Tamandua tetradactyla: one gene and its partners. The protein of the gene in region 3 interacts with the protein of the main gene of each other region in a pairwise test. Links are inferred from orthologs where the notes say so. Each region holds a gene or a part of one and is shown on either strand. Other genes may lie near its edges.

Region 1 (7,507 bases), on a different chromosome or scaffold from region 3:
ATGATGGTATGATAGTCCATGACAAACTCTGGGATCTATCCTGTAACTACTTTTTGAAGAGTGCTTTGAAAGTATTGCTTTTCTCTTTCTTTGCTTTGTATATGTGTTTTATTACATAATTTAAAAAGTGAAAAAATATGTATATATATATATTATAGGTTAGTAGCCTTCGTGTTTTAAACTACAGATAGCAGTAGGGTATCAATCTTTCAGGGTTTTAGGCTGCTATAGGTCTTCAACTAACTCTGGTGAAAGTTGCTTCAACAGCTGCTTGGCCTCTTACAAGTTCTGCTTTGGGCACAGAGCCTATTGGGGTCAACTCAAAGTCCCTCACATAGCAGGTGCTGAGTCCAGAAAGCAGAAGTGTTTACCTCATGTGTATTTGTATTTCAATAAGGGCTTGTGTCAGCTATTTTTAGTCAAGTCCAGGATGTGCCTAGATTATGAACACTTCAAAGAGCAGGGATGGTATCTTCATAGTGTGCGCAGAGAGTATACACAGGAAGTCATACTTTTAGGACATATGCAGGCAGTCAATCAAATTATTACCTGATGTAGTACAACTGACATTGTAAATTCATGCAAAATAAATGAAATAAAATATGAAATATAATATTTTAGATATTAAGGACAAAAAAAATGTGGAGTGAAAAAGTTTAGTGGAAAAGGGAATTTGCTAAGGGTGGGAGTTCATGCAGGTAGAAGAATTGTTAAAATTTTGACCTGAATGGTATTGTTTAGCCATCTAGCAAGACTGAAATTGCATTTACTGTGTTTTTAATTGACCAAGTTATTAAATCTTTAGGCATCAGCTGAATAATCATTTTTCAATTATGTTATTGTTGGTATAACACACAGGTTCAAATCAGTGGTGCCAACCAGTACATTGCTGATCTTGGTTTAAAATGAGGCCAATGATGACTGATTTAAGTTTCATTTTCCTTTTAATTCTTAGCCATCTTTTGGCCCTATGCATGAAGAAAATTAGTCGATTGCCAATGAAAATTTTCACAAAGATTCACTTTGAGGAGAGAGTTAACAGAAGAAAGTGAATGAATAAAGGAAGAGAGAATATATAAGAATGTACCAAAGGGCAGAAGATAACAGGAAGATGATGACCTCAGGCCAGGAGGCTTGAGACACAGAAACAGAATCAAAGTCAGAATCCTCCTCATGAATTCATTAATAAAATCAAATGCTGGTTCAAACTCCTACTTATTTGGATAAATTAAGGATTACGAAGATATGCAGAAAATATGAGAGTGTGATTACAATGATCAAAGCAACCCAGTTGAAAAAGGGTTTCAATAACTGTCCTTCCAAATCTGCTTATTAGAATCAGCTTTTAAAGAGTCTTGTGAAGTGGTCCCAAAGAAATAGACTCGGAACGTGAGGAAATGCTAAGGAAAACTGTTCCACACCTCTGCTGATGCGACCTTCACAGTAACTCTACAACCTTCAACAACTCGGGCAAGTACTATTATGATTTTTATTTTTTTCCACTCTCTGAGAAACGACTCTTAGAAAGAGGTTAAGTTGCTTGTGTTATGATGCATAACAAATTAGAGGCAGAGCTAGAACTGGCAGACTGGAACTAATGTTGGGATTATAGTTCTGCATAGGAGTGATTACAAGAATGCGTTAATACTGCAATTAATTGGACTGGCTAAAACAACATTAATGTAAATTTTCAACCACTTTGGGAAACAATTTGGCATTTTTATTAAACTTAAAAATGCTTGTTTCCTATTTATCTAGCAATTTCGCTTCTACCCTAGCAACTCAAGATCATGTGTACCAGAATAGATCTGTACAAGAATGCTCACAGCAGCATTTTACAATAGCCCCAACTGGAAACAACTCAAATGTCCATCAGCAGTAGAATAAATGATGAATTTTGGTAAACTCATGCATCGGAATACAATAGAGCAAAGAAAGTATATGAACTACAGCTACACACAGGATTTCACAAGCATAAGTGATGGGCAAAAGTAGAATTTAAAAGAAACATAAAATATGATTCCATTATACAAAGTCAAAAACAGGGAATTTAATCATATTGGTTAGGGATGCAGACATAGATGGTAAAAGTGTAAAGAAAAGCAAGGAAAGATAATCTCAGCAATTAAAATAGTGATTCCCTAGGGTGGCAGAAGTGGGAGATCAGGGATGGATTCTGGGGTGCCAGCAGTAATCTCTTTCTTAACCCAGGTGGGCATTGCCTTGTAGTTGTTGATTAAACTGCACATGTTTGATGTACTTTTCACATTTATTTTTTAGATGGTCCCTGAGTTAATAGGCTACCTACCAAACTTATTTTTTTCCTGAGGCTTACCTCTTACTATTTAGTAAATTTGAAATATTTGTTGTTCTACATCTTTTTGGATGAATAAAACATTCATTTTACGTATGTTTGTAGCATATGTAGCACTTTCTAGTGAATCCAATTAATTATCCAATTAAATTCAACACATAATGCTAATTGTAAGGGGTGGACTTTACTTTTACACACATTTACACCCAGAATGAACCAAGTTAGACAGAAATCCATCTCAGCAAATTTCCATTTTTCTGCTGCTAATCCCCAAAGACAGTTTTGTCCCCATTTTAAACCTTCTCTGAAGTTTCTGTCAAGTTCACAGCATATCATCCCAAATGACTGCCAAGTGGATGAAATAAAAACCAAAATATCTCTGAATAAATTGAGCAGGAAGTTTGACATTGACGTTCTTTGAATGGAGACTTTGAGAAGATGAAATACAGCCCTTTTTCTATGTTATGAAAATCAAATTTTCATAAAAAAAGAAACAGGAAGGGAGAAAATGTGTACCATGAGGAGAAAAAAAAAGGAGAATAAGAATCAATAATATTCACTTTACATCTTGAGAATTGTATACAATAGGCATTGCCTATTGCTTTTAAGAAATATAAACATCCCTCTGCCTTTCTCCTTTGCAATTTGTACACAAACACACATGCACACAATGTATGCTAAACATAAAAATCCTGCTATTACCCCCAAAAAGGGTCAAGGACGCACCGTGGCTGCGGTGGGTTTCTCCTCTTTCTTCTCTTCAAACGCCGGCTCTCCTCCAGAGCTGTGTGACTTCTGGGCTCTGGGCAGGACCTAAAGTAGTCCAAGCAGGTGGCAACCAGTGTGATGTCACCGATGAACCATCTCAAAGGAACAACCTCTGAAGGTTCAAGGCTATTTGCGTTTAGGGGAGCAGAGAAATATGTTGACTAACACTTTGTTCCTTTGGCTGCTAATTTGTATTAACATCACAAGGACTTAAAAGCCTGCTGTTTCCGAAGGTGACTGGTGCATTTAATTTGTTTCCAACTTGTCTTTTACATATTCATGAATATCTCTAACATGGCTTTAAAACATCATAAACCCCGAGACAGTGATAGACTATTAACAAATTGATGCTGCATTTGGCTGCTCCCCTTACTCAGGGTATAAAAAATGGACTTCATTTCACTCCTCAAATCTTTACCTGCTTGAAATATAAAGCATTCTCTGTCTTCCTTACCCATGCCTGCATGTGTGTGCGAGCACACACACACATACACACCAGAATTCAAAAGGCAGCTCAAGCTCCTTCAAAACTGACTTTTTTTAGTCCAAGTAGTGAAAATGTTCCTCTCAGTCATCAGCTTTACAGGACTTTCCAGTTAAGCCTGTACATTGCAAATTTACACATTAAGATAGTTTCATCTGAGAGAGCTGATGAAGTTTTGCGTGAGAAGAAGGTTTGCATATTCAATCAGTAAACTAATTCAGCACTAAACTCATACAGCAAAACCTAGTCTTTGGATAGATTAGGGGTAGAAGGAGAACCGGTCAAAATTAATGAAAAACATGAACTATAGAATATATTTGAAGGAAATAGAATTTTATTAATTTCAAATACAAACACTGACTAGTTAAGACAAGTTTTAATCAGCATACTAGATGTTTGAAGGTAAATGGAATTTCTAAGTGTTTAATTGGACTTGAAAGCAGATCAATTAAGTACCTTAAACTTGACCCCTGCAACTGTGTTTGCTCAACAAATCCTTTCTCTATAAGAAATAGGATAACTTTCCCTTTGGAATTCCCAATTAGGGGCAACTGAAATAATATATTCCCAGAAGGCAAAAACAAATAAAATTAAATATTTGTGTTCATAGTCAAACCTTTTTCACATACCCCAAAGGTATCACTAAAAGAAAGACTTCCCATTCCATTTCTTCATTTCACCATCAACCCATAATCTTAATACAGCATTCTGTCACCACCTGCCTTGTAAAAAGAGCTTGCTGAAGTGACAGGTAGTGTATAATAATTATAGCACAATTGAACATTGGCAGTTATTTGTTTCCATCTGGCAAACTCCTTGAATGTAGTCAGATTTCGATCTTTTGCCTCCAAGTGCTTGCCAGATGGTTTAAATGCTAAGAATGTTTTCCTGGTTACCAAGCAATATCCATCCCCCCCCCCCCCCTTTTTAAAACCACTTAAAATTTTTTTCCCAAATAAAATTATTTATTTATTGCAAAAAATGAAAATATGCCAAAGTATATAAGAAAAAATAATTACCTTTAATCTTCCTAAGAGAAAATAAACTTCATATTACTTTTTATTCAGATGGTTGAGAATTGTGTACCATATGCGTGCCTAATGCATTAAGAAATACAACATTCCTCTGCCTTTCTCCTTAGCAATTTGTACACACACATACTCATACACACATACACAATGTACGCTAAACATGAAATCCTACTGCTACCCAAAAAAAGGGACACTTTGTGGCCATACATAGCCACAATATGAAATTCCAAAGATATTTTGGTAAAGAAATTCTGATACTTGAAAAAATCTTTCCCTTTTTTGATCCCTACATAGTCAAATCCTTCATACTATGCCACATATTGGTGTTGGATTTATGGGACACGCATTTATTTTGTACATATCAGAATGCAAAATTAATGCTACAATATTTTAAATATTAAATACAACAGGAAGATATTCACATATCACTAAAACAGATGGTCAATTTAGTTGAACTGGTCGATTTGAACATGAGTTGGAAAAAATCACACTGCGTATTTGACTGAATTGCCAAGGCAGCTCTGTCTCTCTATCTGGCTGTCCCTTTTGAGCATATCTAACAGTGTACCAGGAGCAATTGTGCCCAGTAGTTGACAAGTTCCCATGAGGCTTGGTGGCCAGATGGTGCCTTTGGAAACTTCTTCATATTAGCTGTTTCTCCTGGGATGCCACTAGAGAGTGCGATTAGACTTGGAAATTAGCTTGATATTAGTTTGGACTAATCCTCTCCAGAAAAAACTGCCAGTCACCCAAATTCACAACTACTCAAATGCTTCAAGCAGAGTTTAACCTTGATTATCAGCAGGTCCATAAAGGGAGAAAAAAAAAATCAAGATTTTTGTCTCTCAGTGAGAAGCTGGGAATGACAAGATTTCAAACCTTGGAACCAAGAAAATTCATCCCTTACGATTAACCTTACTTAACTCTAATGACATTTACCTTCCTGTGAGGAATTCCATGACAGCATTCATTCCAAATCAACTTTCTTTCAAGTGCTGTTCGGCTTATCAGAAGAAGGATATAGTTAATAATTTTTGACATTATTTCTATGCCTATTAATCTAGAATTTAGCTAAGGACCAAAAATGTCAAGAAAATAACATTCACATTGACACTAACATAGATGATCTAATTGGCATTTAGCTCAGCTTATACATCCTCAAGTGTAAAATGACCTTTGGGAATCAATGCTGAGCTTTTATGCCTGGTTAGGAGCTAAACTAGCTTGTTTAATTTATCCCTCTCTTCCATCCATTCTTGGGAACAGAAATGTGGAGACTTTATATCAGTCCATGAATTCTACAAGTCCATGACACAATGGGAGACTTCTGCAAGGCCTTGACGAGAGGTGCTAAGCACTTAGCACATCACACTAATGAACACGATCAGCATGGTGCCCTTTTCACCCTCATGTCTTCACATCCAGCTGCTGAGAAAGAAGCAAGCAGCGCACGGTGATTCCTCTCACTGTGCCAAATGCACAAGCCCAGAGAAAGAAGAAGCCCTACTTCTTCAAGTTCCTTCCTTGTCACTGCTGCCACAACGATCGTGTAAGTCCTGCCCTCTTGCAACAGGGAAAGCCCAGGAAAAGGTCAGAAAGAAGCCTGAATGGCCACTGTGTGGTGGGGTCCACACAGAACTGTCAATTCAGACATTTGAGTCCAAGCCAATTCGGGAGAAATTGCCTTCATCGGAGACTATGTGGTAAACTGGAGTCACAAAAAACCTGTGTTCACATTTTGGATTTTCCACTTACTAAGTGACATTGAGGAAAGTATTTATCCTTTCTGGGTTTCAGGTTCCTCGTCTGTAAAATGGGAATACTAACAACTCTTTTGAAGCTTTGAAATCAGGATTCAGTTGATAGTATATGTAAACATGCCAAGCACAAAGCCTGCCGGTGCGGATGTCCAGTTTGCTAGTTCTTTGGTTTTTTCTTTCATTCATAATAATTTTTTTAATATGTCAAGGGGACTCCTTTCTCTTGGGCAAGGGCTAAACTTCTCTTTTTATTTATGACTGAAGGAGCATGGACTGAGTTTCAATTAGTATAAAAGTCCTCTGAGATGAGCATTAAGTGTGGGGGTAAGTGTGGGGTGAAAATGTGTATGGAATTGAAGCAAGGTTGGCAAGACTTTCTCTTGCCACCCTTTTTCCCCTCTGATGCAGGCTCGCTATTGTCCCTAATGAGCAGGAGAGGTGTCCTGCAGCAGGGCAGAGTCAAGTCACCATGCCTATTACTCATGCAATTGTTCAGTTGGTTTTGAGTGAGTTACATACAAACCATCGTTCTAGGCAAATGGGAGACCATAAGGATCCAGGAGAGGATCAGTGTCCTCAAGAGAAGAAAGTTAAGAAAAGAACACAAACAATGAGGGCACAAGGCAGTGTGAGAGAAGTGGCATCAGAATTACACCAAGAAAGACTATAGGACTTCCAAGCTAGCATAGAGCTCTTTCTTCCTAAGATAATAAAAACATGAAACAGCTGCCTACAAAGAATAGAGAAAGGTACTGAAGATGTAGTAGATCATGGACAACAAACCAGAAGACTTGAGTCTGGCCAACTCTCTTCAAGAATGAGAAAAAAGTTACTTAAGGCTAAAATAATAATAATCACAACAAAATCAGATAGCATTTACTAAACATGCACCACCTTAATTCATCCACATAACAACACCATGAAGTGGATATGAACATTCCCATTTCACAGAGGAGACAACTCTGACCCAGAAAGTTGCATCTTGACAAAGTTCGGGGAGTTAGTAGGCAGCAGAACTGAGATTTAAACCAAAGTCCTTGGACCCAGCCCTGTGTTCCTAAGCACTATGCATAGTGCTTTCAGTGAAATGATTAAAGTACCCTCTAGCCCAGGAGCTTCCAATCTTATGCACTTTTAGTAAAAATTTTAT
Region 2 (7,359 bases), on a different chromosome or scaffold from region 3:
ACTAGCAGTGATGATTCATGTTAAGAGCATGTACCCTTGATATGATGTGATGAGAATGACACTTTACCTTTGTGGTCTTCCTCCCCAAACCCATAACCCTAGTCTAATCATGACTAAAACCTCAGACAAATCCCAACTGAGGGTTATTCTACATAATACTTGGCCAGGCTGGAGTTATAACAATCGTTAGGAAATTAGGTTCTGGAAACAGACCTGAGTGTTACCTGCCATTTCATTTGTTACTTTGGGAATTTCTCTATGCCTCTTTCCTCATCATCCCTAAAGTGGGGATTATAATAGTAACTGTTGCTTTCTGTAGAAACAGAGCTGGAAGGATATTAAGGAATGATGAGAAAAAAAGAAAGGAAGAAAGAAAGAAAGACACAGATGGGCTCAGGGGGTCTGAAGCTTGAGTTTACTTCAGACAGACTTCAGACCCCCTGAGCCCGTCTGTGTCTTTCTTTCTTTCTTCCTTTCTTTTTTTCTCATCATTCCTTAATATCCTTCGAGCTCTGTTTCTACAGAAAGCAACATTTGGCGCCCAACGTGGGGCTCGAAGAAGACTCCAAATCAATATTAAGGAACCAAGGAAAAGTCTCATAGAGGCACGTGTGTCCAGCCGATAGAAGAGGACTCGAGTCATATTGGTAAAGTAAGCATTTTCCTTGGATCATCAGGGTAACGGGTAATCATAATAGGCGGCTGGAGGAGTATGTGTGTGTGTTAAAGCTACTGGGGTGCCTGTTAAAACATCTGAATTAGTAAGCTTATTTGATCTCATTCAAAAACATTGTTGTTGGTTTCAGCCTTAAGGCCATAATGTTTTAAATCTTAAGTAATGGAAATTCGTTATGAAGGCTTTGCAGTGAATATAAGACGGGGAAAATATTCCTGTTTCTATTTGGTTATTGTGTTCAGTCAGGCAATGAACTACCTGGCTCATGCTTTGTCTTAAACTCTAAGTTGTGTTTCTTCTCAATCTCCCACTACCACTTCTTACCCTGTTTCGACAGTTGCTTGAGCCGGACTCGGCAACTGGTGCCCAAACAGGGATCTAATAAGGGAACTCTTAAAGCATAAAGTGAGGAGATGCTCCAGGGACATCCACTACAAATACTACAGGCGGGCCTTTTTGGGTTGAGCAGTGGCCCTTATCTGTAGAGAGGTTTGAGGCTCTGACTCGGTTGATTTGGGAACAGTTTGGAGCAGGACGTTTACAGGAGTCTCGTGGTTCTTGGAATTCTCCAATATTTATTGCAGGAGGGAGGTCAGGAAAATGGAGAATGTTGACTGATTTGATAAAAGTTGATACTGTGATTCAGCCTATGGAGTCATTGCAGCCTGGCTTGCCCACACCAGTTGTAATTTCTAAGAACTGATTTATTATGATAGATTTTAAAAATTGCTTCTTTGCTGTGCCTTTGGCAGAGCAGGATAAAGAAAGATTGGTTTCTGGGCTTGTTCTTGATGGGCTGCCTTTATATAGGGATTCATGTACACCTGAGTCAGAAAGTATTCAGTGAGAAAGGTGCCATACCAAATGGGGGTCAGTGCTCATTGATGGTTCCTGTGGCAGGTTGGTCCCCAACGGGGTGTGCAGTTCGGGATTGTAGTTCTGACTCAAGGTATTCTGTTAGGTTACCTTTGTTTAGTCTGAATGATTATTCTATGAGATTTATACCAATACTACAGGTAAAGTCCTATGACTCAGAATGGGAACGGCAACCCCATCTCCTTTTGTTAACTTAAATCCTCAATAAACAGCAATTTGGAAACTGGCCATGAGTTTAGCTCCTATTCATGTTTGAAAAGAGAAATATATTTTAAGAACTTTAAAACTAAAAATTCTTGTTAAAAACTATATATTGATAGTTAATGCATATTTGAAACATTAAAGTATTTTAAATATTTAACATTATTCTAACAAATTTAATTTTGATGGTAATTACATATGTGGTAAAATATTTGTTCAAAGTAATGATTTAAGTATGAAAAATATGAAAGATGTATTTTTATTAATAGGAAAACAGAATAGTTTTATCCTAAAATGAATAACTGTTACTAAGCGAGAAAAATATAGGACAAAGCCTAAACTAATATAATAAGTGCTGAGGGTTTATAAAAATAGAAATTATGGTTAAAATCAAGAAAGATTTAATGAGTCTAAAATGACAATGTTTTCTTGGACTTTTAGCCTGTTCTAATGAAAGGATATAAAAAAAATTCTAAATAATTAGTTAGAAAGCAAAGAGTCTGTGTTTTATCAAAATAACTTGTGTTAACTTTTATCATGTTATTATCTGTATAAAAAATACTGATTTTCTCCTGGGTATCATCATACTGGCAAAAACTGCTTCTTGCTCTAAACCAGATGGCTTAATCTATTAATCTAAGTACTATTACTATAAATGAATCTATTACTGACTAAATAATATTCAAATCATTTAAATACCTAAATTCCTTTAAGCCAAAATACTTTAATGCTTTGTCCAGTGTTTATATAAACTATATATGTATAAACTAAATTTATCCCAAGATAACCATGGCTTATATTGGAAGCAGATCAGATTTGAGGGTTGAATGCAAGGAAAAAATATACTTGTGGAGTCTTTTTTGTTCACCTGATGTTGCCATTACATGCAACTGATATTGCTGGGAAGACCTTGGTAAGAAATAGTTAAAATGTACACTTTAGCTGGGAGGACTGCCTATCCCCCCAGAAGGCGGTGTACTTTAATAAAGATATCTAGGTCCCAGGAAGCTCCTCTTGGTCCCTAGCCAGTTCCCAGAGGACCCAACTGGGCCCAGTCATGTAAGCAAATCAGAATTTGGCCACTATTGTGAGAAAATATCATAAAAACTGCATGAAATAAATTTAAAATTAGCAAAAATGCACAACCAATTATAAAGAATCCACATTCTTGCATTCCTTTTTAATCAATCCAATGAATTCAATTTTAAAAATCTGGTCATTTACTATGGGTACACGTCACTATTGACACTCTGCTTTCATTTTTGCTATCTGCCACTTTAGGGATTCCTAATTATATGTTACAAAACTTGTTTGATATTTTACAAGGAGATTCTGATTTATTAAGCAAAAGGCAGTTAACAGCTGCAGCTGAATGAGAGTTACAATTAATTGAACAACGCATTCAAAAAGGACAGCTTGTTCAAATAGATCTAAAAAATCCTGTTGATTTTATTATTTTCTTTACCTTGCAATCTCCCACAGGCCTATTTTAGCCAGACGGTGTTTTAAAATGGATTTTTTTACCAAACAATTGACAAAAATGTTTAAATACATATTTGCAAAAGATTATTTCTTTAATAGTCAAAGGTCACCAAAGATATTATCAATTAAGAGGTCATGATCCCTAATTGCATAGTGTGTGATCTCACAAAGGAAGCAACAAGTAACCACCGTGATCACATTGTTTGTGAGGAGCAAATAAAGCACTTGGCCTAGTGCCCAGCACCCAGCTCTCAATAAATGTTAGCTGTTTACTGGTATGCTTTATAGATTTAATTTAGTATACATATTTTCTCCTGATATAATTTAATATAAGAAAATTGTTAAGCAGGTATTGGAAAACTGAAAAGATAACAGCGGACATTGTATCATCCCAGAGGAAGTTACTATCTACCCGGAGTAGCTACCATACTATGTTGGAGATTTAAACAAACAAACAAAAAAAACAAACACATTTTATTGAGAATAATTTACATACCATAGAATTCACACACAGGAAGTGTAGTTGTTTGACTTTTTTTTTGGTGAAACGGTTGTGCAATCACCACCACAATTCAGTTGTAGAACCTTTACATCATCGCCCAAATTCCTCAAGTCCACTTGCACTCAATCCTCCGCTTCCACTGGGCTCCAGGGAAGGACTCATCTGTTTTCCGCCTCTATAGATTTGCCTAGTATAATTTATCAAATTGGGTAATACAAGGTGGTCGTGAGAAATAGATACTATTGAGAGACAGACTTAGATTTAAAAATTACCACGAAGTTGTTCAAAAGTGGGTTACAGTTTTAAATAGTATGGATCTAAGTACAAGTTATAAGAATAGGGGTCGTAAGTACAAGTTTCGAGAGAAGGTGGGGGAGGTAAGTGAGGAGAAGCTCCAGTCTGGGGCGGCTGGGACTGGGGTTGGGGTTCTGGAGAGTGCGGGAAGCGGGGAGGGTCAGTTGATTGCCTCGGGCTGCCCGGCCCTAACCAGAGGTTGGACGTTAGCACGCTAGCGTTAGCACACCTCCACAGCCGCCTGGCCGTTTGCGCAGGCGCACTGCCCCTGGCTTGCTCTCCGGAGGCGGGGCTGGGCAAGTAGCCCGAACTTGTGATCACATCGATCGCGAGCGCGAGGCGATTGCTTCTGTCTGTTGATTAGGTATGGCACTCGCGAGGAAGCCGAGAGGCGGTAGGAGCTGGGACCTGGACCTCGCTGTGTGTTGACCGCGGCCGGGGTCTGACCTAGGCCGTCTGGGCTATGGGGGATCCCATCTCCTTAGACACGGGAGACCGCTCCAGTGGTTTGAGCTGGTGCTTGCAGCGGGTGGGGATGGACGCCGAGTGGCTGCTGCTGGAGGCTGGAAGCGAGGTGAGGGGGGGAGGGTTCCAGTTGGTGCGAGGGACGGGGGTTGGTGGAAGTAGAGGAAAAGGGGAGGGGAGGGAAGGCGTAGGGGCCCGTGGGACCGAAGGAGAAAAATGATTCTGGTGCGAGCGGTTGTGGGGTCTGAGTTGGAGTGTGTGTTGGGGGAAGTAGACATCGAGTGAGAAAATTGAAATACGGTTCATGGGAGAATAGAGGGCCATAAGGGGCCGGGGACAGAGGCGCTGGACACAGGGACTAGGAGCTAGAAGATGGCCCCTTTGAAAGAGGCCTGGACCTGAGAGACGAGCTTGCGCAGGAGTCGGGGTTGTAGGAAGTATTAGAGTGGAGGGAGCAGAGCGAGGAGTGCGCATAGACGATGTGAGAAGAAACTGGAGTTTCCAGGAGGAGAAAGGGGACTGGGACGGCCAGTTGGGGAGCGAGGGAAGTATGAGGCAGAGCTGCCCCAACTTCCACCTTGAGTTGTCAACCCCCTTAAGTTTAAGGCGGAGTCAGGAAGGGCTACCCAGAGCGTGAACTCCCGAGTTTATTTTGAAAACGATTGCGAGTTTTAGTTTATGTCCCCTAAAATACTCAAACCTTAATGTGAAAGTATCTTCCTCTTTTCCAACTCGGAGGATAATTGGCACTTTGGGATAGGCCACGTTTATCCTGTGAGTCTTGTACCGCCGCCGAGTGGCACCTCCTGAAGTGGGCAGAAGGTGGGGATTCAGAAACGTAGGAGTTCTCCTCTCTAGAGGTTGCTTATGATGTTTGCTAATGCGTGCATAAGTGGAAAAAAAAAAAAGAAATTTGAGGTGAGGTTCCAGTTTGGGGCGCTGTGCTTGGTTTGAAAGTATGTATCCCAGAAAAGCCATGTTTTAATCTTGATTCAGTCTTGAAGGGGCAGCCGTTTCTTTTAATCCTGATTCAATACTGTAGGTTGGAAACTGAGTGTGACCTTTGATTAGATGGAGATGTGACTCCCTCCATTCCGGGTGGGTCGTGATTTGTTTACTGGAATCCTTTAAATGAGGAAACGTTTTGGAGAGAGTCAAAAGCCTCAGGGTGGACTTGAACTTCAGAGCAGAGCTGACACAGATGCCAACACTTGGAGAACAGAGACACGGATGTTTGGGGATGTTTGGAGATGCTTGGAACTCAGCAGACATCGCCATGCGATGTTAAGCAAGCCAGAACCTGTAGAAAGCCAAGGGAAGCCAAGAGATAAAAGCCAGCCCCTGAGAAGCAAAGTGAGGAACTCTTACAAGAACAGAAGCTGAAAGCAATGGAGCCCAGGAGCAAGGGACCAGCAGATGACAGCCTCGTGACTTCTGAGCTGACAGAGGTGTTCCAGACCCATCAGCCTTCCTTGAATTAAGGTGTCTGTCTCTGGGTGCCTTAGTTTGGACATTTTGTCAGTATTAGAACTGTAAACTTGTTAACTTATTAAATTCCTCTTTTCAAAAGCTGTTCCATTTCTAGTATATTGCATTCCAGCAGCTTGCAAACTAATACAGGTGTCTAGGAGTGGGATGATGGTTCTAGAAAGGAGGAGTAAGAGTTGTGATCATGTTGGGAAGGAGAGGTGAATCAGGAATCCACCTGTGGTGATTGAAGTTTGGTTTGGAAATAATTTGAGAGGTTCACTTTGCAGTAAAACTAGGTGGTTGATCATTATTTGGGATTAATTTCCAAGTTTTATTCTTTGTATATTTAATTAGACTTTTCCTATAAGCAGTATAGTCTTCCCCAAAGTGTATTCATTTTGGGAATTAACAAATTAAAACATTAACACCTGGATAATGCTAACTTTACTTCTTTTGTATAGGGTTGGGGTTTTCACAAGTGTCACTTAATCTGAGTCCCTGTATATGCGCTATACTCTCACATGCAACCATATTAGATACTTAATACTCGAGTGTTAACACATTCTTTCAGATTCAGTTGCTATGGATTAATTTATTACTTCTCCTGGACAGCGTGTGATAGCACTGGGAGTCTTGGAGGGTAGCATAAGGAGAAAGAATTCAAGCACCTGCAGCAAGGGCAAGAGGACTGTCAAGCACTCTTGGACATTTAAGCTATTGGGTAATTTTGTGTGGCTGCTTCTATGGGGAAAGATGCATACAAACCTGAGTGAATGGTGAAGATGACTGCGGCTTGCCTAGAGGGCCTGGGCAAAGGAGAAGACCTGCTTGGCGTGATTATCCTCAAGATGTGCTCTTTTTTTTTAGATATTAAAAAAGAAATTTAATATCTTCAGTAAGTGAAATGGAAGGAACCCTGTTTTACCACTTTATCTGTGAAATGTAGGGCCTTGAGGGGAACTGGGAAGGTAGGAAACTGACTTTACTCTGCTGTTACAATCAAATGATGCCAGCACACCTCCTAAAATAAATTGGCTTATTGAGGGTAAGATGATGCAAAAAATATAAAAATTAAAAGCTTATCTGGCATTTAATTGACTTTTCTTCCACAGTGTGTCAAATGGGAGTTGGATTTTATTTGTACATTTTCTAAGGACCCGATCTGTTTTGAAATCCTTATGCAGAGGGAAACTGTTGGGAAGATTCCTTAAGCAGCTCTTGGGATAATTCTTATGAGGGTGGGGGAAATTAATTTCTTAATTCTGCCTACTTCTTTCCCTTCTGCTTTATGTATTCTACAAAAATAGTCATTACACGTGTTGGTGAGCCCAGCAATTAGCAAAAAGAAGCCCTGGAAGCCAACTTTGTCATCAATACTGGTCTAGATCCTTCA
Region 3 (7,707 bases):
CACCCATTTAAGTCAGTCAGTACTGTGAAGGCAGTGGCTTGAGAAAGAACTAGATTTGAGAATGATCAGGATGACCAGAGCCATCCCCAATAGCTGGTGACAACTAAGGAATATTGCAGACACTGCCCACACTCTGTCTGAGGCAGCACTGACATGCAGCAACATAACAAGGTACACCTGCCACTCCCCGACAACTCCTTACCCGCCAGGGATTGCTTGGGGCAGCCCACAGTGGGAGCCCAGGGGCAGCTGGATTGGATCATTTTGCTATATTTAGAGCAGCCTAGGCTCCCCCATGCCTTCTGGTTAACAAAGTTAGGGCAGGCAAGATGCCTATTCAAAGAGGAAAAAAACAACATGACAAGATAGGGCCCAAGGCCCTAATGTAGTCTTCTGTTCTACAGAACCTGACCTAAATGAAAACTCCAACCCCCACTCCCTAAAAGAAGACAGAAAACTCAACCAGATCTTGTGTTTCATTCTTTTCTGATCCAGTTCTGGGGCCTATGTTCCAGCTGTTCCACCCAAAAAATCCTTGATCCAGGGTGGGAAGAGTTTATACTGGCCTGTTCCCAACAGAGGACTCAAGGGCTGAAGATGGGACTTGAGGAGTGTGGGTGGCAGGGTGAAAATCAGAAACCAGGAATGGAGGCTGCCTGGCAAAAAAATGTATCATGAAGCTGGGAAGAGGCAAGATTCCCGTTCCCAGGTGTCCTGACATGGGCTCCAACTTCCTAAGAACATCCTGGACCCAAAGTCCTTTTAGACGTTCCAGTTCAACACAACTAGCCTTCCGGTGTCTCTCTACGCAAACTCCCAAAAATTAGAACCAGGAAAGACTTCAGAGCTTATCCAATGCAGATCTCTCCTTTTAAGAACGAGGAAACTGAGGCCCAAGGTCACACAACGAAAGAGTGTCAAAGCAAGGACCTAAACCTGGCTCTCTCTAGTTCAGGACTCTCCCCTGTTCATCCATTCACAAAGAATCCCCACCGGGTTCTTCCGGATTTTTCGCCATCTGTGACTCCACTCTCACCTCCCCAACCTCTCCAGCCCCCAATTCGCAGACTCTTATCCCAACTCCGCAAAGCTCGGCGCCCGACCCAAGCTGCCTGCGGAAAGTATTCCTCCACGTGCTTTCCTCCAGCTCTCCCACCCACCCAATTCCTTTTCAGCTCCTTTCCGGGTTACCGGGTCCCGCGCCTCACCTGCTCCCTCCAAAACTGCACGGTCCTCCCTCGCCCGCACCCTCCCCAGCCCGGCACCCGGGCCCCGCCCGCCTGGGAGGCCCCGCCCCCGCTGTCCCCCTCTTCCCTAGGTGGCTGCACTCACACCCCGGCCCCTCTCACCGGTAAAGCCGCTTAGTATGGAGGACCTTTGCTTCGGGCTCGCTGCTCTCCCCTGTGGGGGGGCCTTGGCTCATGGTGCCCGGGCCCGGGGGCAGCTCCCGGTCACAGGCCCCCACCACCCGCCGCTACCGCCACCGCTGCCGTCTCCGGCCGCAGCCGCCACCGCTGCCGGCCCTGCTCGGCCGCCATCGCTGTGAGGCGGCTGCCCGCGACAGCTCCTCCTCCGCCTGCCAAATCTCGCGATACAGCTGCACAGGTGCAGACCAGTGGCCGGCTGCTGCCAAATCTCGCGAAACTCATTTTCCCTCCCGGGAAGTTGCCAGAACTAACTCTGGGCATCATGGCCTCTTTCCGGCTACTCCAAGCCCTTGAGAAAAACTTTATTGACAAAGCTGCTAGACAGCGGACAGTGGACTCAGTGAGAGGGCTGAAGCTCAGCTGAGTTTGGGCAGGCAGGCAGCCTAGGAGCCTTGCTTTGTCTTGTCCTACTGTGTTCATTTGGTTTGGCTCATCTTTCTGCCCGTCCTTCCCATCCTTACCCCCCCCCCCCCCCCAATATGAGCCGAGCCTTGTTCAGAGTGCTGGTTAGAACGATTCCAATTCTCCATTTTCCCCATAATTTAAAAAAAAAAAAAAAGCGCACGTGAACATTTCCTCGGAAAGAATCGAGTACTACTTAGGAGCAAGACCCGAGAAAACATGACTTTTGTACAAGTGTCTCAATCCATCACCTCCCGCTCTCAAAGCTTTCTAGCTTGCACATGTATCTAGCACCAGTCCGGAAAACATTTATTGAACACCTGCTGTCATCCAGGCACTGTGCTGGGTTGTGCTGGGTTGTGGGGACGCTGAGATGAGCAAGCTGAACACTGTCCCTGCTCTCAAAGAGTTCCAGTGATTTTAGGGATAATGTCCCATGAAGATGAACAGTCATTCTCTAGTCTGCTCTCTAACGTTCTGGCCTCTGGTCCTCACATTGGAAAGATCACTTGGTATCTAACTAGGATTCCTATTGCTTTTTATTTTTTTGTATGCTGTATGGCCGGATAATATTTCATTATATTGCCATGTGAGTATCCGGTTGTTGCAGCACCATTTTTGTTGGAATTTTTGTTTGTTTTGCTTGTTGTTTGGTTGTTTGTTTTTGGGGATAGTGCATGATCCAGGAATCAAACCTGGGTCTCACGCATGGCCAGCAAGAATTCTACCACTAAACTACCATTGTACCCCCTCTTATTACTTTTTTAACCTTAAACCAGACCTAAACAGCAAGGTGTTTCTGTGATACCACAAGCACAGCTCTTTCCATAAAAGGGTCCACCTGACCCGGTGCTATAAAGGAGAAACAAACCTCTCGGTGTGAAGGTGATTTATTGCAAGTACACTTTGCAAGGAACTGGAGGAATCGTCCCCAAACCAGTTCAAAGTGGGGGTGTGAGTTAAGCGTTTTAATAGGTAAAGGAAGGATTATAAGGGGTCAAAAACTAGGTAATGGCCACTTGATTAATTCCTGTCAGGTCAGCAATGACACTGGATCTTCATGAGGAAGGCACCAGCAAATTTCTCAACCCTGTGTTGTCTCAAGCACATTTTGTTGTTTCAGCTTTGGTGATAAGATTTAGTTATTGACGTAGAAGCTCTTATGCTCATCACTTTTCTTAGCTGACCTTCAGATATGTCAAACTTTTTGTCACTGATTCACTGAGCTACTGGGTGTTCTTTTTTTTTTTTTCCAAGTTTTATTGATAAAACAACATACAAGCACATACATTTGTAACATACAAATATTCCATACGTGGTATACAATCAGTGGCTCACAGTGTCATCACATAGTTGTATATTCATCACCATGATAATTTTTTAGAACATTTGCATCACTCCAAAAGAAAGAAAAGACTCATGTATACCATACCCCTTACCCCTCCCTCTCATTCACCACTAGTTTTTCCATCTACCCAATATATATATTTTTTAACTTTAGTATTTGTTTCCCCTGTTTAGTTATTTTTAATCCATACATTTTATTCATCTGTCCATACCGTAGATAAAAGGAGCATCAGACACAAGGTTTTCACAATCACACAGTCACATTATGAAAGCTATATCATTATACAATCATCTTCAAGAAACATGGCTACTGGAACACAGCTCTACATTTTCAGGCACTTCCCTCTAGCCTCTCTAATATATCTTAAACTGAAAAGGGGATATCTATACAATGCATAAGAATAACCTGCAGGATAACCTCTCGACACTGACACTTTATTTTATCTCATTTCTCTCTTCCCCCTTTCCGTCAAGAAGATTTTCTCAATCCCATGATGCTGAGTCCCAGCTCACCCTAGGATTTCTATCCCACGTTACCAGGGATGTTTACACACCTAGGAGTCGTGTCCCGCATGTAGAGGGGAAAGCGGTGAGTTTGCTTGTCATGATGGCTGAGAGAGAGAGAGGCCACATCTGAGCAACAGAAGAGGTTCTCTTGGGGGTGACTCTTAGGCCTAATTTTAAGTAGGCTTAGCCTATCCTTTGCGGGGATAAGTTTCATAGGAACAAACTCCAAGATTGAGGGCTCAGTGATGCTATTCTGTTATTTTATCCCTGTAAGAAGAACGAAGAAGGTCTGGTTAATGTCCTTCTGGAACTAAGTACAAAGAGTATATTGCTAACCTCAGCTGGGGTAAGCATATTTTCCAGCAATCACCTGGACCCGTATACCTGTTATAATGGGAACATAAATTCCCCCTTCCACCTGATGCTCCTGCCACAATTCACCTGACCTTCTTTTTGTTCTTGAAACAGCTCAAATCTAAATCCTTCCCACCAGTTGCCTTTCACTTCTGTTCCTCTGCTCGGAATGCACATACTCCTGATTTCTCATCAGGTCTCAGCTTAAATGCCACCTTGTTAAAAACGTTTCCCTTACTGAATTTGTCTTATTTAGTTACTAAGCTTCTTCACTTTCTGCCACTCCAATAGAACATAAGTAAGTTCCTCAAGAGTAGGGGCCTTGCCTGTTAGCTTTTCTCATCTGTGCCAATACCTAGCTAATAATATGTGCTCGATAAATATTGATTGAATGAATGAATGTACGAATTCCACTTTTTTTCTGGATATCCCAACCTACTCCAAGCACCTTTAGGTGTACAGACCCACTCTCCCTGCTCTGTCTTCCTGGGCTGGCAGCTCCTACACATCCTCCACTTGCCTCCTACTTCCAGCAGCCCCACTTCCAGAAAGGCTTTTTCTGTCGGCAGATACAGCAGGGCGGGGCCTGCGCCTTTAATCTGGGCTCCACCTGCTCTGGTCGGACAGGTTTGGAGACACAGGTAGAGGGAGGGAGTCCGAGAGAAATACTTGCAGAACCAGCAGGGAGTTCGGCAGCTCCTTCCTGGAGGGCCGGGACGCCAGGGACCCGCTGCCTTCTCCAAATGGAAAGTAAGAGGGTCTCATGGGTCTGAATGGTTGAGGGTAGGCAGGCACTCCAGGACATGGAAGGAGAGGACTCAGTCTCATCCACAGGAGCAGAGAGATGGAGGGCAGCAGGCAGGGGAGGAAGGCAGGAGAGGAGGCATGGGAAACAGCCATGATTAAGCCTAGAAGTTGAGAATGGACAGACCAGGACTCTGCGGAGGTGGGCTAATGGGGAATTCAGCAACTGACCAAGTACCCAGATTGGGGGTGAGGGGGCAGGCCACCTGGGGACTGCCAGCCCCTTGGGACACATGTGTTGGCAAATCACAGGTACCACCTCCAGGAGAGTCCTACCTAAGCAGGGAGGTGGGGAGGTGGGAAGTTGGAGGGGCCGTTTCTCTGACCACAGGAAGATCTTTAGCGGGAAGGAAACGCTCGGCAATATTCTAGACACCTCCTCTTCCTCTCGTTCCTGGATGAGGGTGGCCATGACCCCAGGGGTTTTGGTGGAGGGGTAGAAGGCATGGGCGGGCCGGCTGAGGCCGCAGCTGCCAGGGCCTGTGCCCCCTGACTCACCCTCTCCTGCTGGATGGCACCTGATGTCGAAAGGTGCCTCCATTTCAGCTGCTCACTTCTTCCCTCCCTCCTCCCTCTGTTTCAACATCTCCCTCCACACCATGTTCTCCCTAAGGTCCCAAAAGAGACCAATGCCCATGAGATTGGCCTCTCTGGAGAGTTCCAGTTTCTGCCAACTGCTCGGAAGGGCCGGGGGCCTCTGACAGAGCTTCCCTCTGCTCCCTGCAGGGTGACACAAGCTCACGATACACCCCAGACCTGAGGCCCCAGGATGACAGAGCCCGAGACCCTGACCCTGCTGGAAGTGAAGGGACCTGAGGTCCTGGAGAAGAGCCCACCCCAGGCCCTGGTTCCCAATGGCCGGCAGCCAGAAGAGGAAGGTGAAGCCGAGTGCCCCAGAGCAGGCTCTCCAGCGGGGTGTCCCACGGCTGCGGAGGAGACTGAGGCTGGTCTGGGAAGCACGGTGAGCGAGGCTGCCACCCTGCCCTGGGGGACTGGCCCCCAGCCCAGTGCCCCATTCCCCGATCCCCCCGGCTGGCGGGACATGGGGCCAGAGCCCCTCGAGTTGGAGCCCCCCACCAAGCCCGAGGAACTCCCCGGAGACGATGACAACCTGCTGCCCACGAAGGCTGCGCGGGCCTTTGTGCCCATCGACCTCCAGTGCATCGAGCGGCGGCCCCCCGAGGAGCGCGCTGTGTGCCGGGAGACGGCCGAGGCCCAGCGCAGAGCCTTCCGGCCCGCCCGGGTCATCCACCCGGAGCCCCCCAAGTGCAAGTGGGCCGAGGCAGCAGTGAGGTCGCCCGGCCCCTCCTGCGGGGCCTGCAGGCGCTGCGGGGGCCGCGAGGGGCTGCGCGCCGTGGCCTCGGTGGGGGCCGCCCTCGTCCTCTTCCCCTGCCTCCTGTACGGGGCCTTCGCCTTCCTGCCCTTCGACGCCCCGCGGCTGCCCACCGTGAGCTCCCGCCTGGTCTACACGCTGCGCTGTGGGGTCTTTGCCACCTTCCCCATCGTGCTGGGTGAGTCCGGGCCCCGCAAGGAGAAAGGGCGCCAGACCCGGGGAGGGCAGGGCCTGCCGGCCGTGGGGAGTGGGAGCCCAGGCCCCTTGGCGCCCCCTGTCCCCCTGCTCCCCACCCCCTGTGTGCCCATCCCCTCCCAGGACCCCCAGCCCCACTGGGCACAGCCTAGGCCCTGTCCTTCTGCGAGGCCTGCCCCCCTCTGCCCTGGGCCCTGCCCCCTAGCCTCCTGCCTGTCCTGACCCCATGTGCCCCCCACCCCCACCCCCACCCCAGGGCTCCTGGTGTATGGGCTGAGCCTGCTGTGCTTTTCTGCCCTGCGGCCCTTCGGGGAGCCTCGGCGGGAGGTGGAGATTCATCGGCACTATGTGGCCCAGTCAGTCCAGCTCTTCATCCTCTACTTCTTCAACCTGGCCGTGCTCTCCACATACCTGCCCCAGGATGCCCTGAAGCTGCTGCCACTGCTCACTGGTCTCTTTGCCATCTCCCGGTGAGTTGGGGCTAGGGGCGGGGCCTGGGGGAGGCGATGGTGCCAGAGGGGCCGCAGGCATCCGACAGGCTAGAGGGCCAGGGACAGCGGGCGGCTTTTGGGATTCTGCAGCAGCTCAAATGTGCAACCTGGAGAGGTGAGTGCTTCCCCCCTTGCCCCTGACCTCACTTGGTTGTAGATGATCAGCCCATAGGCCTTCCCCCAGGAAACTGATTTCAGAGACACACACGCCAGCCTTGAAAGCAAAAGGGCCTTCAGGTGCCATCGCGGTCAAACTCCCACTCGTTGCAGCCACTCTTCCTCTGGGGCACTCTGGCCAGGTGGCCCTTGGCTGCTAGTTGTGCGGCCCCTGTGACGAGGTGCTCAGTTTGTTTTATTTTTTAAAGGTTAGAAAGGTTTTCTTTATATTGTGCTGAAAACTGCTACCTTGACTTTGATCTCTGGAACAAACTCAGACATTTGATATTGAAATGCCTCTCATTTCTCTCTATCCCAACACCCTGCTCCCCCATTTTCTTTATTTTGCTAAATGTCCCTGGTCCCTTCACTGTCCTGGGTCCTTCCCACTACGCAGAAAATTCTCTGGTTTGTCAATGGGGCCAGTCATATTACTCTCCTGTCATTCTGAGTTTGTAGTCCCTGATGTCCTGAGGGTTTTGTTTTTTTGTTTTTGTTTTTCTTTGTATGCCGTATGGTGGGGTCACATTTCATTATTTTTCCATGTGAGTATCCCATTACTGCAACACCATTTGTGGAATTTTTGTTTGCTTTGCTTGTTTTTTTGTTTTGCTTGTTTGTTTTTTGGGAAGGGCATGGACCAGGAATCGAACCCGGGTCTCCTGCATGGCAGGCTAGAATTCTACCACTG
Region 4 (7,636 bases), on a different chromosome or scaffold from region 3:
ATCTCCCTACCCCATATTATTAACAGCTCCTTCTCACATGAAAAAGTTAGAATGGCCATAGCCCAAATACCCCTAAAGAGAAGTATAGAAAGATCAAATGTGATCGTGGAATTATACAGAGAAGGTAAGGTTTAAGAAACTAATATGATTGCTGAATCATTAAACTGATATTCCTTTTAGTTTCCAGTATCTTAGAGCAGCTAGAAGTAAAAATCTAAAATTATGGAATTGTAATCCATACCAAACTGTGAAATATGTTCTACAACTAATTGTTGTGCTGTGCTTTGAAATTTATCGCTTTTTGTATATGTTATTTTTCACAAAAAAGAAAACAAAAAAGTTGATTGTGATGAAAAGAAAAATTTATTCCTTCTAGGCTCCTATATTCTGGAGCAGCTAGAAGGAAAAATCTGAGAAGATCCCATGACAAACTCTGGGATCTGTCCTATAACTACTTGTTGAAGACTACTTTGAAAACTATTGCTTTTTTCTTTCTTTGCTTTGTATATATGTTATATTATACAATAAAAAGTTTAAAAAAATAAAAAGATCCCACCCACAATTGGGTGGGTCACATCTCTATGGAAACAACTAAATAAAAAAGATCCCACCCAAAAAATAGGTTTGCCCCCACAAGGGTGGATTAGGATTAAAAGAACATGGTTTATTTGGGGTACACAACAGTCTCAAAGCAGCACAACTACCTTAGTACATATTACCTTATTAAAAGTGTTAGCTGAGATCTGTGGAAATGGAAAAGGGTTATTTAAAGAGCAAGTTACACTGTCATGCACAAGGTGGGGGAAGCTTCAGTTGAAAAGAGGAAAGGACTTACAGCCAGCCAGAGAGAAGCAGGAAGGGAGATAGAGCATGAAGAGAAGAGGAATGGGTATCAAGGACAACCAAAATTTGTTCTGCAAATTTGCCTATACCTCCTACTTCACCAGAAGCCTTTGAGATTCTTACTACAGATGTTTACATGGCACAGTATGTGTAAGACCCTAGCAGATTATCCCCACATCTAGGAACAGGGCCCCCAACACGTGTTCAAATGTGTCAATCCCAACATTTATGGAGTACCTGATAGTTCACAGTGAGGTAGACATAACATTCATTTTATAGATAATGAAGCTTAAGTGTACTTTCTCAACATCACACTGCTAATATAAGGCAGAACTGGTACTCAAACCTAAGTTTCTCATTTCTTACATCAATATGCTACCCTGGTTTCCCAAAACCAACAAGGGACAAGAATCTATTAACTATACAGTTACTCATTTTGAAATAAAAATCAAATAATGACTTACATTTTCTTTAAGAGGCAGTACAGTATGGTGGTTAAGACTCTGGAGCCAGATTGCATGGGTTCAAATCCTGGCTCCACCATGTACTAGCTGTGTAGTTTTGAGCAAGTTAATGTGTCTTTTTATACCTCAATGTCCTCACTTGTAAATTGTGGTTATTAATAGTAACTATCTCAACAAGTTATTTTAAAGACTAAAGGTAAAGCACCTGAAAGATTGCCTTTCAGACTATAAATGCTATATTAAGTATTTGCTATTCTTATTTTTTATCAATTGCCCTCTATGGGACAGGCACTTAACACACATTACCTCACTTAAGCCTTCCAATAACCTGTGAAGTAGATATTATTAGCTCCATTACACCTTTGGGGAAATTCAAGCCCAGAGAGGTTAAGTGATTTGTTCAATCATTAAACGAGGACGTGACAGAGTAAGAATTTAAACTTAAATCTAACAGTCACCTTATGAGACACTGTCTCGCAACATATCGAAGCTTTCTTACTCAAACACATGGAAAAGGTCAGCCAAACCTTTTGACAGGAGTGCGCTTCTTTCACACACCAACATAAAACATACTTCAGATTTTTTTTTTAATCAGCTATACACCAAAAAAAGCATTAAACTGATATGATGGTTCTCAACATGGGAAAGGTTCAGATGGCCCATTGAATCGGGACTGATCACAGGTGTCAGATTCAAATATTGAGCTATAATCTGCATATACTAGAAACAGAAGGTGCTGTTCAAATAACTTCCTAATTCCTTATAACGTCAGCAAGTAAATAAACATGAGTAACATGGAATGGAATTCACAGATTTTTAGAAAGTGGCTGTTTCATCTGTCAGTAGGGATCGAATAACCTCTCGGTTCTGGTGGTTGGCACTTTAGACCTGGACTGGCTTTAATCTTGATTATAGAGGTATAGGAGGGGCCAGAGCTCACTCTCTCCAACTACTCCAGATGGACGATTCAGGAAACTAAGGAGTAGGTAGAAAGTCCACAGATGTTTTCACTAGCAGAGTTTCAAGCCGAGTTAGCCGCCTCTTTGGGAGCCCTCCTCCACCTGTTGGGACAATAACTCAGGTCTCCCTTACGTCACATCTTTCCCAAAATGCCAATAACTGGGTCTCCCTGGCTCAGTAACTCCTGAGGTTTCCGTGAGCCAACGCTGTTAAATATCTGGGTTCGACGTCCATTCAACCCCCCACAAAAAACTTAAAGTCAATCACTGGTTCAAATCTCACTCTGCCTGGAAAAAATAAGAAATGCACCTCAAGCCCTCTCGGGCCACCTAAAATCCCAGATGGATCTTCATGTTTCTGACAACTGGACGTCGGAGGCACTCCCTCTACACGCTGGCAGCTTAGAGCGACTATCCCAACCCCCTGGACACTCAGTCCGGGCAGCCTCATACCCAGGTAGGTCAGCCGAGGGGCAACCGCCGACCGCGTGGCCCCCAAGACCCTTCAAGCCGGAGGGGACAGTGTCCCCGCTTGCCCGCCCCTCCGAAGCTTCGCGGCTCCAACGACACTCGGCTTCCGCCCCCACGCCTCGGGCTCAGTTCCTGTTCCGGGTAGGTCTGTAATACCCAGGGTGGAAGGCCAGGGTCGGAGCCGCCCTGCGAAACAAGAATAGGGGTGCAGAAGACAAGATGTACCTGTCGAGCCGGGACCCACCGCGCGGAGTGACGCGCCCCGCAGTGCATTGTGGGGCGAGGGCGTGGCCTTCCGCGGGGCGGCACCGCGTCCAACGTGGCTTGCGCCCGGCGGAATCAAGCCCCGCCCCGTAGCCTTGGCGCCTAGGCCAGTCAGATTCTGTGGGAAGGAGACGCTAACCCACCTACTAGTGGCCGGAGTTAATTTGGCTCATTCCAGGAGAGTTCGGTCGTTTCTCTTGCACCTGAACCAGGAGATGGCACAATAGTCTTGTGACAGAACTATGCTGACCTTCAGAAATGTGGATAATCTCCCTCGACTGCCGCCCTGTATTTGCAGGCAGTTTGTCCCTCACACGGGACCCTACAGCAAACACTGGTCCTGTCCACTCTGGATGAGTAAGTAAAGAGCTCCTACCCATCTACCACTACACAAAAGAAGGAACCTTACTGAGGCAGAGAAGTGCAACATTCTACCCTACAGCCCCTTTCAGCCTCGGCATCGGACCTTCAAGTATTTATTTATCCAAATATCGACCATGTGCCAAGCACTATGTTAGGTATTGGATTACAGGAGTAAACACAGCACACAATGAAATTTGGGTACAGTGATGTATTTTGGATTACCAGGGAAGAGCTCACCGAAGAAGTGCCTTTTTTAGCTCCACGCATATGAAACAGCCTTAAGGAATGTCCCAGCCAAAGGGGATATTATGCCTCAGGTAACTTGGGCATGAAAGAACTTGATGTATTATAGGAACACAAAGGAAGCAAATGTGGCCCAGTGTAACAAGCAAGGAGAGGCTAAGAAAATTAAGGCACGGTCCAGATCATGAAGGGTCTGGCCACATTTTAGATTTCAGACTGTATTTTGCGATATGTCCTAAGGTCACAGTGAGTGTTAAGTATGAACTGATTTACATATCTAAAAGCTTACTTGGGCTGTTTGTGGGGAATAGATTCGAAGAGGGCAAGAGGAGATGATGGGAGGCCAGTTTGGAGGCAGATGCATAAGTCAAGGCCAGAGATGATAGTGGCCTGAATTTGGGAAAAGGTGGTAGAGTCAGAGAGAGGTGGTGTTTTGTTTTGCTAATGCTGCGGAAATGCAATATGCCAGAAATGGATTGACTTTTACAAAGCGGATTTATTAAGTTATAAATTTACAGTTCTACAGTTTGGCCATGGAAATGTCCAAATTAAGTTATCAAGAGGATACCTTCACCCAAGAAAGGCCCATCACAATCACACCTGGAGTTTCTCTGTCACGTGGGAAGGCACATGGCAAGGTCTGCTATGCTTCTCTCCCTGCTTCTGATTTCAAATATCTTTCTCACTTTCTGTGAGTCTCTCTGACTTTTACTGGGTGCTTTCTTTCTACCTCTCCGAACGACTGTGTTTTGGTTTCATCTCTCTGCAATCTGTGTCTGCTCCAAGCTTTCTCTCTGTGAGCTCTTTAGGACTCCGGTAAGCTAATTAAGATCCACCTTGAGTGAGTGGGGTCACATCGCCATGGAAATAATCTAATCAAATAGTCCCACCCTCAATTGGGTGGGTCACATCTCCATGGAAACAACCTAATCAGAAGATCCCACCCACAATAAGTCTGCACCCACAGATTGGATTAAAAGAGCATGGCTTTAACTTGGCAGGTGAACTCACTGCCCTTACCCCTATATGGGACATGACTCCCAGGGGTATACATCTCCCTGGCAATGTGGGACCTGACATCATCGGAATGAAAAAAATCTTCTTGACCAAAAGTGGGAAGATAGAAGTGAGACAAAATAAAGTCTCAGTGGTTGAGAGATTTCAAACAGAAGTCAGGAGGTTATTCTTATGCATTGTATAGGTATCCCTTTAAAAAGAGTGTATTGGAGTGGATAACAGTAAGTCCCTGAAACTATAGAGCTGTGTTCCAGTAGCCTTGATTCTTGATTTTTGAGGAAGGCTGTATAACTATATAGCTTTTTGTGTGATTGTAAAATCCTGTGTCTGATGATCCGTTTATCCAGAGTATGAACAGATGAGTAAAATAGTGATGATAAGTAGAAAAAAAAAATAATAGAGGGAGATAAAGGGGGGAATTGGGTAGATTGAAAGACTGTGGGTCAGTGAGCGGGAGGGGTAAGAGGTATGGGATGTATGAGTTGTTTTTGTTTCTTTTTATTTCTTTTTTCTGGAGTGATGCAAATATTCAAGAAGTGATCATGGTGAAGAATACACAGCTATGTAATAATAAAAATTAATTAATCAATTTTTTTTGAAAAAAAAGAGCATGGCTTTTCTGGGGTACGTAACAGTTTCAAACCAGCACAGATGGATAACTTCAAGATATGTATAAACAGGAGGTGGAATCTAAGGGACCTAATAAAGGATTGGTTTGCAGGGAAGGGTGAAGAAAAGCGTATTAAGGATAACTCTTGAATTTCTACTTAAGTAACTCAATGAATCTAGAAGCCGTTTAACTGATTCAGGGAAATAGGATGAGGAGCAAATGGTTTCAGATGTGTTAAATTTTAGATACTAATGAATGGGAATGGCAAACAGATTTGGATATGTAGGTCCTGAGTTCAGAGGAAAGGTCTGGATTAATTATATAAATGAGGTGGTTGCTGGAGTATAGACAATATTTAAAGCCATAGATGGGCATCTAAGGAGAGAGTGTAGAGGACCTAGGAAATAGCTCTAGTAGAGAGAGCGAAGGAAGATGGCAAACTTAACTTAACACATGGTTCAGTGTCCTCCTCCATAACCAAAGGACTAAAGACAAATAATACTGGCAGAGGTGGAACCTACCTTGCTGGTGCTCTCAGTCCATAGTTGGTGAACACGGGGAGTTAGGTGGGGGGTGGGGGGAGCCCAGGAGCAACTACCAGGATGATTTAATGAGATACCCCATTAGAAGGACTCAGTTGGATCAGTCTCTCTCCCTCCACCATTTGTGCACAAGCAGGGACACCGAGAAGTGTCTGTCCCCAGGGAAGAAAAGTGAATGAACTGACTGGGGCCGAAAAGCAGGGAAGCATTCCAGGTTAGTCTAAGTAAAGGTTGATTTTTTTTTTTTAGCAAAAGTAGTAATAAACTGGAACTAAACTCTCAAGAAGATCTTCAAATGGAAGATGGCAGGGAAGAAAGTAAAGTGAAAACATGCTAAGTTCTCATCTTGTATTGGGAAGAATAAAGATAGATTAAATCTAGAATGTGTTTGAGGCATTTAATTTTAATTTAGGCATATTGAAATTTTAAGAGCATTGTGTTAACACCTTGGAAAACTGCTGGGCAATATCTACTTAAACTGAACATATGCTTACCCTTTGGCCCAGCATTCCACTCCTAGGTATAAACTCAGGAGAAATGTATTCATATGTTCACCAAAAGACATATATATAAGAATGTTCACAGGAGCACTGTTTATAATAGCCCCAAACTAAAAACAATCCAAATGTCCGTTGACCATAAACTGAATAAATTTTGCAATATTCATATATTGGAATACTATATATATATATCAAAGAGAGTGAAATTATGGAACTGTAACCCAGGCCAAACTTTAAAATCTGTTCTATAACTACTTATTAAAGTATACTTGGAAATTTTTTGCTTTTTTGTATATATGTTATATTTCACAATAAAAAAACTATTTTAAAAAAAGAATGAACAATCTACAACTGTATGCAAAACATGAATGAATCTCGTAATCATAATGTTGAGCCAAAGAAGCCAGCACAAAAGGTTGCATACTATATGATTCCACTTAAATAATTTTCAAAAACAGGCAGAACTAATATATGGTGATAGAAATTGGGATATGGCTACTATGGTGGTTTAAATCTGTATAAACCCCAGAAAAATATGTGCTTAAATTTAATCTATTCCTATGGGTGTGAACCCATTGTAATTAGTACCTTTTGATGAGGCTTCTTCAGTTAAGATGTGTTTCAGTTTGCTGATGCTGCCGGAAAGCAATATGCTTGAAATGGATTTTACAAAAGGGATTTATTAGGTTACAGATTTACAGTTCTAAAACCATGGAAATGTCCAAATTAAGGCATCAACAAGAGGATACCTGCACTCAAGAAAAGCTGATCATGTCTGGGGTTTCTCTGTCACATGGGAAGACACATGGTGATGTCTGCTGGCCCTTCTCTCCTGGATTGGTTTCCAAAATGGCTCTCTTAGCTCCGTGGTCCTTCTGTATCTCCAAATGTCTGTATCTGTGTTTTCTCCAAAATGTTTCCCTCTATTAGAGGACTCCAATAAGCAGATTAAGATCTACCTTGAATAGGTGGGGTCGCATCTCCATCTAATCAAAAGATCCTACCCCCAATGGGTGGGTCACATCCCCATGGAAACAACTTAATCAAAAGGCTCATCCAACAATAGGTCTCCACCCCCCCCCCCACCCTAGACTAGACTAGAAGAACATAGCTTTTCTGGGGTACATAACAGTTTCAAACCAGCACAATTTAATTTAAATTCAGAGAGACTAAAGCAACTGAAAATTTCAGGACAGAGCACCAGAAAGGAGGGAGATTCACAGAGAAAAATATCCAGAAATATGCATAATGGTCCCCTTGAATCTTTTGCTTAGGTACAGGGCTAGACCTGTACCTAGTCTGGTTAAAGAACAATTTCTGAAGAAAAAAACTAAAACTGGGGGGCTATAAGCTGAGCAAC

Evidence for each region.
Region 1: the proteins of TMEM79 (region 3) and SLN interact in binary tests that used the Homo sapiens proteins (3 or more experiments, as listed by UniProt). The two-hybrid records come from large-scale screens. The link is inferred for Tamandua tetradactyla from reciprocal best matches to the Homo sapiens genes TMEM79 and SLN.
Region 2: the proteins of TMEM79 (region 3) and RNF8 interact in binary tests that used the Homo sapiens proteins (3 or more experiments, as listed by UniProt). The two-hybrid records come from large-scale screens. The link is inferred for Tamandua tetradactyla from reciprocal best matches to the Homo sapiens genes TMEM79 and RNF8.
Region 4: the proteins of TMEM79 (region 3) and SEC22A interact in binary tests that used the Homo sapiens proteins (3 or more experiments, as listed by UniProt). The two-hybrid records come from large-scale screens. The link is inferred for Tamandua tetradactyla from reciprocal best matches to the Homo sapiens genes TMEM79 and SEC22A.

Annotation. Positions count from the first base shown.
Region 1 is NC_135334.1:34,159,810-34,167,316, reverse strand, and holds the start of SLN (sarcolipin), read right to left. Parts: upstream 3,138-7,507; 5' UTR 3,041-3,137; intron 1-3,040. UniProt on the Homo sapiens protein: Reversibly inhibits the activity of ATP2A1/SERCA1 and ATP2A2/SERCA2 in sarcoplasmic reticulum by decreasing the apparent affinity of the ATPase for Ca(2+). Also inhibits the activity of ATP2A3/SERCA3.
Region 2 is NC_135331.1:94,290,365-94,297,723, forward strand, and holds the start of RNF8 (E3 ubiquitin-protein ligase RNF8), read left to right. Parts: upstream 1-4,356; 5' UTR 4,357-4,494; coding exon 4,495-4,605; intron 4,606-7,359. UniProt on the Homo sapiens protein: E3 ubiquitin-protein ligase that plays a key role in DNA damage signaling via 2 distinct roles: by mediating the 'Lys-63'-linked ubiquitination of histones H2A and H2AX and promoting the recruitment of DNA repair proteins at double-strand breaks (DSBs) sites, and by catalyzing 'Lys-48'-linked ubiquitination to remove target proteins from DNA damage sites.
Region 3 is NC_135330.1:9,312,153-9,319,859, forward strand, and holds the start of TMEM79 (transmembrane protein 79), read left to right. Parts: upstream 1-4,668; 5' UTR 4,669-4,787; intron 4,788-5,567; 5' UTR 5,568-5,610; coding exon 5,611-6,352; intron 6,353-6,625; coding exon 6,626-6,839; intron 6,840-7,707. Other genes in the region: nonsense-mediated mRNA decay factor SMG5, read right to left, coding at 1,350-1,423.
Region 4 is NC_135336.1:22,208,046-22,215,681, forward strand, and holds the start of SEC22A (vesicle-trafficking protein SEC22a), read right to left. Parts: upstream 3,057-7,636; 5' UTR 2,963-3,056; intron 2,954-2,962; exon of another isoform or gene 2,720-2,953; intron 2,714-2,719; exon of another isoform or gene 2,577-2,713; intron 1-2,576. UniProt on the Homo sapiens protein: May be involved in vesicle transport between the ER and the Golgi complex.